Linked DNA regions of Daphnia pulex. Each later gene encodes a partner of the first gene's protein in a complex. Links are inferred from orthologs where the notes say so. Each region holds a gene or a part of one and is shown in the gene's direction. Other genes may lie near its edges. The genes, in order: THO complex subunit 2-like and THO complex subunit 3-like.

What was found.
Region 2: the proteins of THO complex subunit 2-like (region 1) and THO complex subunit 3-like are in contact, whole or in part, in a cryo-EM structure (PDB 7ZNL), measured with the Homo sapiens proteins. The link is inferred for Daphnia pulex from reciprocal best matches to the Homo sapiens genes THOC2 and THOC3. Residues at the interface, in NP_001075019.1 of Homo sapiens: Tyr395, Arg396, Pro401, Lys402, Gly403, Ala404, Lys405, Gly406, Ser407, Pro446, Ile447, Ala450, Arg454, Cys500, Asn501, Ala502, Cys503, Met504, Glu506, Pro563, Arg566, Gln567, Lys570, His573, Tyr603, Leu604, Thr605; in NP_115737.1 of Homo sapiens: Asp193, Met196, Ile208, Val217, Gln218, Asn221, Ala222, Pro224, Ser225, Ala244, Asp245, Ala246, Leu247, Ser249, Trp251, Asp252, Asp254, Glu255, Leu256, Val257, Cys258, Val259, Cys261, Ser263, Leu265, Asp266, Pro268.

What each region holds. Positions count from the first base shown.
Region 1 is NC_060017.1:3,792,025-3,796,609, forward strand, and holds the start of THO complex subunit 2-like, read left to right. Parts: upstream 1-1,582; 5' UTR 1,583-2,053; coding exon 2,054-2,115; intron 2,116-2,222; coding exon 2,223-2,293; intron 2,294-2,355; coding exon 2,356-2,447; intron 2,448-2,509; coding exon 2,510-2,869; intron 2,870-2,929; coding exon 2,930-4,357; intron 4,358-4,427; coding exon 4,428-4,585. Other genes in the region: uncharacterized protein LOC124205981, read right to left, coding at 1-435, 516-642. UniProt on the Homo sapiens protein: Component of the THO subcomplex of the TREX complex which is thought to couple mRNA transcription, processing and nuclear export, and which specifically associates with spliced mRNA and not with unspliced pre-mRNA.
Region 2 is NC_060028.1:7,657,270-7,661,158, reverse strand, and holds THO complex subunit 3-like, read left to right. Parts: upstream 1-1,343; 5' UTR 1,344-1,797; coding exon 1,798-1,977; intron 1,978-2,044; coding exon 2,045-2,201; intron 2,202-2,261; coding exon 2,262-2,466; intron 2,467-2,532; coding exon 2,533-2,694; intron 2,695-2,770; coding exon 2,771-3,023; 3' UTR 3,024-3,219; downstream 3,220-3,889. UniProt on the Homo sapiens protein: Component of the THO subcomplex of the TREX complex which is thought to couple mRNA transcription, processing and nuclear export, and which specifically associates with spliced mRNA and not with unspliced pre-mRNA.

The sequences.
Region 1 (4,585 bases):
GCGTTGACTGGTAGCCTGACGGGTACCCAGATCCATAAGATCCAACCGGAGTGCTCGTCGTTTGAGGATAACCGACACTCGTAGCTGGTGGGTATGTAAAGTATACTTCCTGGTGATTTTGGTGATGATAGTTGGACGACGCTGGGTATCCGGTTGGTTTGGGAACTCCATAAGTGTGTGAGGGCTGTGCGGGTCTATTAGGTTGCGGACTATAAGAAGGTACTGGTGGTCTGGCAATCGGATAACCAATCGGTGCCTTTGGTTGGTTGTAGCCCTTGAAGTGTAGACCGGGAGGTGGGCGAGGCGTTGCAAAAGTAGGAAAATAGAGTCGAGGTTCAACCCGTGATGTGCCGTACGTGTTGGACCATCTTCTCTTTAATCGTATCTGGTTTGTTGGATCCAAGGTAGATGTTGAATTTGAATAATTCTGTTGCCCTTGGAAAATGATAAAAATTTGTTTTATTTTATTGCGTCAGCATCGTTTGTGGGTTTAAATTGGGAAAATTCATTCTTACTGCTCGATTGGTTTTCGGAATCGCTGTTTTTCGGATCGACAAAGGCAGCAGCTGATGTCGAAAATAAAATTGCGGCGACGATGAGAAGAGAATTAAGAGGAGACCACTTGGCGGTTCGACACCGCATCTTGAAATCAAACGGGTCACAGAAAATCACCTCCAGTTATAAAGGTTTGCTTGTTGACAGCCATGGCTTCTGGATGTTCGGTTAAATCACCGTTGTTGACACCTTCTTTGGCCTACATTTTTATATCAATTAAATAAAAAAGGAAAGAGGAATTTTGGAAATACTATACATGTAAGGCGTCAAAGATGTCATCAAGGATGTGACGTATTTGCCAGTCATTGCTCTTTGTTTAAAAAAATGGAATATGTGTGTTACATATTTTAAATGTTCTTTTTATTTTTGACGATTCTTATTGTTTGATTTAAGTCCATGTGAATTCGCCCTATCTTATCCTATTTTATGTCTTTTCTACCGTTTCCCCGTTGTAAATGGTGTCACGACACCGGCAACCCAACAGATTCACGCCCTTCCTGTAGATTTCGTCTCTTAGGAAAGCGTGAATCCGTACCTCTTGTACTTATGTACTTTTTCTTTAATGATTTCTATTCTTTCGAGTTATTTATCATAATTATTTGGATATCGATAAAATTTTTTAAATTGAAAAAAAGGCCAAAATTATTGTTAGTTTTGTCGGAGTTATTATAAAAATAAATCGTTGTTACTCTCCGCATTAAAGTCTGTCTTATAATTGAAGATGCCGTTTCTCATTTAGAAGAATTTCTAGAGAAGGACGGGGAGAAAGAGAAAGTCCCAGTATATACGTATACCCATCTGCACGCACAGCTATATAAGCCGAAACGGCAGGAACGAATTTGTACAAATAGTCCTACTCAACCGGAAGCCAATACGGATCTTTACTAAAACCAAGAAATATTTTTATCGCTCACGTGTTGCTCCGCTAGCAGTCACTACCTGCTGGGTCTGTCATCCTTTTACCTGCGACGCTACATCCATTTGGTCCACCTCCAGTTTATCATTGCTAGAAGTAACAGCTTGAAATGTTTGTTCCTAGATGGCGTTAGCAGCAGCCTCTTTTTCCTCTTCCCCCTATAAAACTAAAATCGAAATATCTTCTTTACTGTAACGTTTAAATAATAAGAATATTTTGTGTAATTCGATTCGCCTTTGAAAACTTCATTAAACCGTATGGCTTAAAAATTGTTCTGACAAATAACCCCCCGACAAGCTTACAGGAATAGGAAAAGATCCCGTCTTTAATTAGAGTACTCCGTGCTAAAGTGGTCGGTAGGCTACTCAGTAGACTCCAGCAAGGCTCTAAGCTTGAGTCCATGTTTATGTTGTCACATATGCCACCAAAGAGTCGCTTCCCCGTTTGTTTGGTATTTGTTCGTTGTCGTTTGAATTCGCTTCTGCAATTTTGAATGGCCTAAGGACTTCTAAAGACAGATACTGCGACGTGTGAAGTGGAAATCACCGAATTCGTCAGTTGTTGCTTAATCGAGGGACACAAATGGCGTCGTTAATTTCGCAAGAAGTATGGAAAACGTGGGAATCACATGGACACGTTGAATTGTAAGACTCAACAATTGTTTTATATCACTGACACTACATTCTTTGACTTCAACAATAGTAATAATATGACATAACTAATTTACTCTTTTTATCTGGTAATCTTTTAGTGTGAAACTGCTGGAAAGCTGGATTGGCACCGATAACAATAGTCAACATATTCCTTCAATTGGGAGTAAAGGTTTGTTGTTATTACATTACATTTCCAAGTATTTTATTTATCTTATGTTTTACTGTTTTTAGATTTGTTTCGTGCTATATATGAGTTCTTGTGGCAAGCCATCAAAGGTGGAATAAAAAGAGAACTAGTTTTATCAACCATTGGAGATATTCTGGTATAGATTTTGATCTTAACACTTTTTATTTGTGATTTTGTCAATTAAATATTTGTAAGTAGGTTTTGCATGGTGATCTAGCATCGTTGACACTAGATGTTCTCAATGTTATTGACCATGAAACGTTGGTTAATGAGAATAATGATGAACGTCAAAAGTTGTGCAGCATGCTAAAAGAACTGGAAAACTGGCTAAGTGATTCAATGATTAAGGAACGCTTAGAGATTGACACATTACAAGATTGCAGTTTACTGAAGACAAAGAAGATATTTTACTCCCGTTTCATCAAAGTAAAGACAAAATTATTTTACAAGCAGCAGAAGTTTAATCTTTTACGGGAGGAGAATGAAGGCTATGCAAAACTAATAACTGAACTCAATCAAGAGATTGATGACACCATCACTCCACTCTACATTTTACAAGTAAACATTTGATTAATATTATTCTCTGACCATGTACCAATATTCCCCTCACTTACACAGGTTGTACAGTCTTTAATTGGTTGCTTCAACTTGGATCCGAATCGGGTGTTAGATGTGATTATGGAATCATTTGAATGTCGGCCGCAGCTTCACAGTCGTCTTTTTGTTCCACTGATTCGCTCGTACATGTCAGATTCGTTGACTTTGTGTGAAGTCTTAGGGTTCAAGTTTACTTCATTCGACCCGTCTTCTACACCAAACTCTCTTTTCGTCATCACTGCTCTTTTATTGCAGCATGGAGTCATTCATCTTGAAGATATTTATCGTTGGCTTACGCCTAAAGATAGCGAAATCGACGAATCCGCCGCTAAAGAATTAGCAGACGCAAAAGAGTATGCTCGTCGAATGAATATCATCGCTGTTCCAAAAGAAGACGACAAAATTGAAGAATTGATTGAAGAAAGGGCACCTTATAATCAGAAATTTGGACTGTGTGAAGCTCTTCTTTCAGTGGGAGCTTGGGAACAAGCGTCTACTCTTCTTAAACGTCACCCAGAGTTTTTCGTCACATCTTATCGACCCATCTCGAGCAGTATCTGCAAACTGGTCGACTACGTAATTGAACCGGTGTATCGCACTCGATGCTGCATATCTCCAAAACTTTCGGGCAAACCAGTTTTATCTGTCGGTGTATGGAACTTCCCCAAGACAGCCAAGGAAATGAAGGAGTTGAGAGAAACTGCTTTCCCCATGCTACTCTCTTTGGGACCCCATTTGTATAACGATCCTGTCCTCCTGCACAAGTTAATCCGTTTGTGCAATACTGCGTTAGATGATTGTGGCTTGAACAGTTCAAAGAAATTTCCGCAAGACCTGGATTCGCTGTACTTTGACGTTCTTACACTGTTTGATGTTGTAATATTGCCATCACTCGCCCTCATGGAATCGAATTGCTGTGTAGCAGAAGAAATCTGGAATGTTTTGAAGAAATTGCCTTATGAGCACCGTTATCGTCTGTATGGCCTGTGGAAGAACGACACGTTTCAGAGCCATTCTTTGCTGATCCGCCGCAAAGTAGACTGCGTTAAACGCATCAAGTACATCATGAAGCGTGTGAGCAAGGATAACGTCAAGCCCACGGGTCGAGTGCTTGGCAAGCTTAGTCACAGCTGCCCTGGCTTTCTTTTTGACTACATTTTGTCCCAAATTCAAATCTACGACAACCTGATTGGCCCTGTTGTGGATTCACTCAAGTACCTCACAAACCTATCGTATGATGTTCTTGGTTATTGCGTTTTGGAAGCACTTTCGAACCCAGACAAGGAGCGCACCAACCATGATGGAACTACCATCTCTATGTGGCTGACGGCTCTTTCCGCCTTTTGTGGAGCCATTTACAAGAAATACAACATAGATTTGACTGGACTTCTCCAATACGTTGCCAATCAACTAAAGGCGCAAAAGAGCCTAGATCTTCTTATTCTTCAGGTACTTATATTGATTTAATATAATAAATATCTTTTAAAAACAACTTAATGTTTAACTATTGCACATTCAGGAAATGGTGCATAAAATGGGGGGCATCGAAGCGTCCGAGGAAATGACAAAGGAACACATGGAAGCAATGCAAGGCGGTGAACTGTTAAGAGCTGAAGCTGCTCATTTTGGACAGGTTCGGGTTACCAAGAAAGCTGCCCAGCGTTTAAAGGAAACATT
Region 2 (3,889 bases), on another chromosome or scaffold:
ATATCCAGCGAATCTCGAAAAAAAAGGTCTAAAAAAGAAGAAGAATGGAATGCAATTAGCATAGTTCATCAATATGGAACAGGCAACAATAACGCAATCATCGTCGGGCGGAATGCCTATTGTAATAGAAACTCTCCTATATATATTATATACTTAATGTTACAACACACACAGCAGAGCTGCCCTGCTGTATTTATATATATATATATCCGCGTTGTAAATCACCGGGATATATATAACGGGCCAGCGGGTCCAATCTCCATAAAGTGTCGAGGCACACCAGCAACAAAAAAGCGTATCATCGGAATCGTATTACCCTATAGACGTTTTCATTTGAAGGGGAGAAGGAAGAGTTTTAAATAAAATAGAAGGAAAAAAAACCCTTTTTTTTCCTTTATTTCTTATATATTTTTATTTTACTACTCTTTGGGTATAGGCCAACGAGACGAGTCCAGTGACCAGCCAAAAGGTCCAGGGAAAGAGAGAGAAAAAGAATCTTTTTGGGCAAAACGAAACGAGACGTTCGCAGATTTACGACTGCGATATGTTATTACGCACACACGGGACCGATTGGCTATCAAAATAGAAGAAGAAGAAGAAGAAGTTCTTTTGGTGTGTGTAATGATGGAGAGAGCAGCCAAAGAAAAAGGAGGTCCAGTAGGAGCATCAGCAGCAGCCCAGGCCAGGCCAGGCCACAAGGCGCGCTTGGACGCCCAGTCGCTTTTATCGTCAGTTAACGGGCAAGAAATTTGCTTATTTTATGGCCGTCTTCTTTTTCTTTTCTCTCCTAGAAGAAGAAGAAGAGGGGGACTCGTAAATTTCCCTTTTTTTTCTCCTTACTACCCCCGCTCTCTTCTTCCATCGACTATACAGCTGTAAATTCTTGTAAAGTCGATGCTAACTCGTTAGTCGTTAGCGTTATATAGAAGCCGTTCTGGTTGTAGTTGTTGTAGATGTCTTATGTGCTGTGTGCCGGCGCTGTGGGTCCAGCATGCACTGGCAGAGAGAGACTACGACTTTTTGTTGCTTTATATTACCCCGATGCCCAAACACGGATCATTTGATGATTGCGCGCTGTGAAAGAAAGAAAAAAAGAACAAAATATAAGAAAACTGAAATCTATATAGTCGTAGTTTTTGAAGAAACGGGCATAGCTGCTGCTGCTGCTGCCCATCCCAGTTGATTTGGACTCGGTTCTTTTGGCTTTGGCGCATATTATTGCCGTGTAGATATATATATATTTATCGGACGTGTAATAACATTCAAAATGGCGCAAGCTCCACAGCTATAGTTTATATGTGTAGCTGGGACTTGGGAGAGAGAGTATAATATTCATGCAGCTAGATCTCGTCTGATAGAGGCTGGACGCCCTTCGCTTGTTGAGTTCATTGTGTGTGTGTGTGTGTGTACTAGTCACGCTTGATTACGGTGTGTGTCCCGTGTTTGGTAACAAAAGCATTTCCACCTATCCGCCCACCCTACGCCTTTTTTATTTTATTTTTGTTATTTTGGGCCAGCCAGTCGATAAACGTATCGTTTAACGTCCGACTAATCAGAGCCAATTGAGGAGACGACATTACCACCACGCATTCCTTGCCCGACCCCTTTTTTCTTTTATTAGTGAGTTAGGAATTTCAAATTTCGCGCTCCAACTGCCATCTGGCGGATGAAGAAGAGACTTGGCATTGGAAATGGCGGGACGACCGGCTTCGCGTTAGTTCGTCTGCACACACTGTGTTTTGTTGACACGCGAGTAAAGGTATATAAACCGCTTTTTTTTCCCGAAATTATAAGAAGATGGCAGTCGCCGAATTGGAAGAGCTGAAAAATCATTTTAAAACGCACACTCGAACGAGGGAAGTCTCTGCACATTCGGCCAAGGTTCACACGGTTGATTGGAATTGCGATGGAAGACGGTTAGCGTCGGGTTCCTTTGACAAGACGGTGTGCATTTTTACTATGGAAAGCGACAGACTGGTTAGTATTAGTCCCGGCTTATCAATCATGCAGCAATTATAATGGAGCTTGAGGCATTCTGTTTCAGGTTAAGGAGCAAACGTTTGTGGGACACAATGACAGTGTCGATCAGCTATGTTGGCACGAAACCAATCCTGATTTGCTCAGCACCGCCAGTGGAGACAAAACCATGAGAGTTTGGGATGCAAGAGTTAAAAAGAGTGTCGCCACAGTAAACACCAAGGGTACAATTAATTACGAAATTATGCTTAAACATTCAATCCTTCATTAATGTGATTTGACAGGAGAAAATATCAACATCACGTGGTCACCTGATGGAAATTCCATTGCAGTGGGAAATAAGGAAGACCTTGTTACTTTTATTGATGCCAGGAATTTTAAGATTAAAATAGAACATCCGTTCAAGTTTGAAGTCAACGAAATAGAATGGAACAAGGCTAGCAATCTTTTCTTTTTGACTAGTGGGCAAGGCTGCATCCACATATTAGAGTAATGATGAATTTTCTTCCCCCTGCTTTCAATCTAGCATGACGCTATCAATTCTCTTGTATCTAGTTACCCAGAGCTTACGACCGTTCACGTCACACAGGCTCACCCCGCCAACTGCATTTGCATCGAATTCGACCCCACTGGACGGTACTTTGCCACTGGGTCGGCCGACGCCCTAGTCTCTCTGTGGGATGCCGATGAAATTGCTTGTTTGCGCACTTTCTCCAAGTAACATTAATGCCAATAATAACGTGCCGTTTTCTATTGAGGTTATTCAATTACTGACTGGGTGTTTCCCCTTTAGGTTGGATTGGCCAGTTCGGACATTGAGTTTCAGTCACGATGGGTCCATGTTGGCGTCCGGGTCAGAGGACTTGCTGATCGACGTCAGCCACGTAGGTACAGGCGAGCGCGTTATCAGCATTCCAGTTGACACGCCAACCTTCACAGTCGCCTGGCATCCACGCTCTCACCTGCTGGCCTACGCCTGTGACGATAAAGACGACGGAAACAGAGACGCCGGAACTGTGAAGCTCTTTGGTCTCTCTAACGAGTGATGGGCCCATACGAATCAAAACTAGGAGGTCTCGTGTTTTATACAGAATCCAGCTTTTTTTTTTTTATTTTTTCACTTGCAGATTTTCTTGTTTACTCTTGTCAAGAACTATTTGCCAAGCTTACAAACTTCAACTGTGTTGAGAGAGATACAAGTAAAATGGATCTCAGATCAGAGATCTTTTCCAGAAAACTGAATTGTTCCAGGACACATTTTCCCTTTTTTTTAACGTTCAAACATAATTAATTACTCAATAATAATTTTCGTTATTACTAGATCCCATATTTGTTAAAAGGTGATGACCGTTCGGCACAAATTTTTAGTCAATAATGAAAAAAACAGGGCGTTAACGTTTAAAGAAATACGACGCTTTTATGCAAGCAGTCCATCTAGGTAAGACTTATTCCTATCCTTATTCTATTACTAAAGGCAAATTAATTTAAGTTGTCGTGATAATAAGCATATTTCGTAGAAACAGATAGATTGATAGTTTGTGTTACATCATACGTGCCGTTGATTATGTACAAGGCTAAAATGTCGTTTGATATTTCGTAACGGTAGTTGGTAAACACTAAACACACACACCCATATATAGGCAGCAAAGCGGCACATAGACGAATGTATCGTTTTGCTCGAGTAGATTCATGTTCATTGTTCTCCGCAGCTAGAACGTGAAATACTCGGAATGCTTCTCGTGTCATTCCAACATGGAAAGCTGTTATTTATCTGCTTTGCGATTGGTGTAAAACGGATGCGAGAAGTTGAAATTATTCGCATTCTTTAATTTTTTATTTCTTTTTTGAATTTGTGCGTTGCGCAGTTAAAGTTTACTTTTGAAAATTCTGCCACTGTGTAAATTATGGTCTT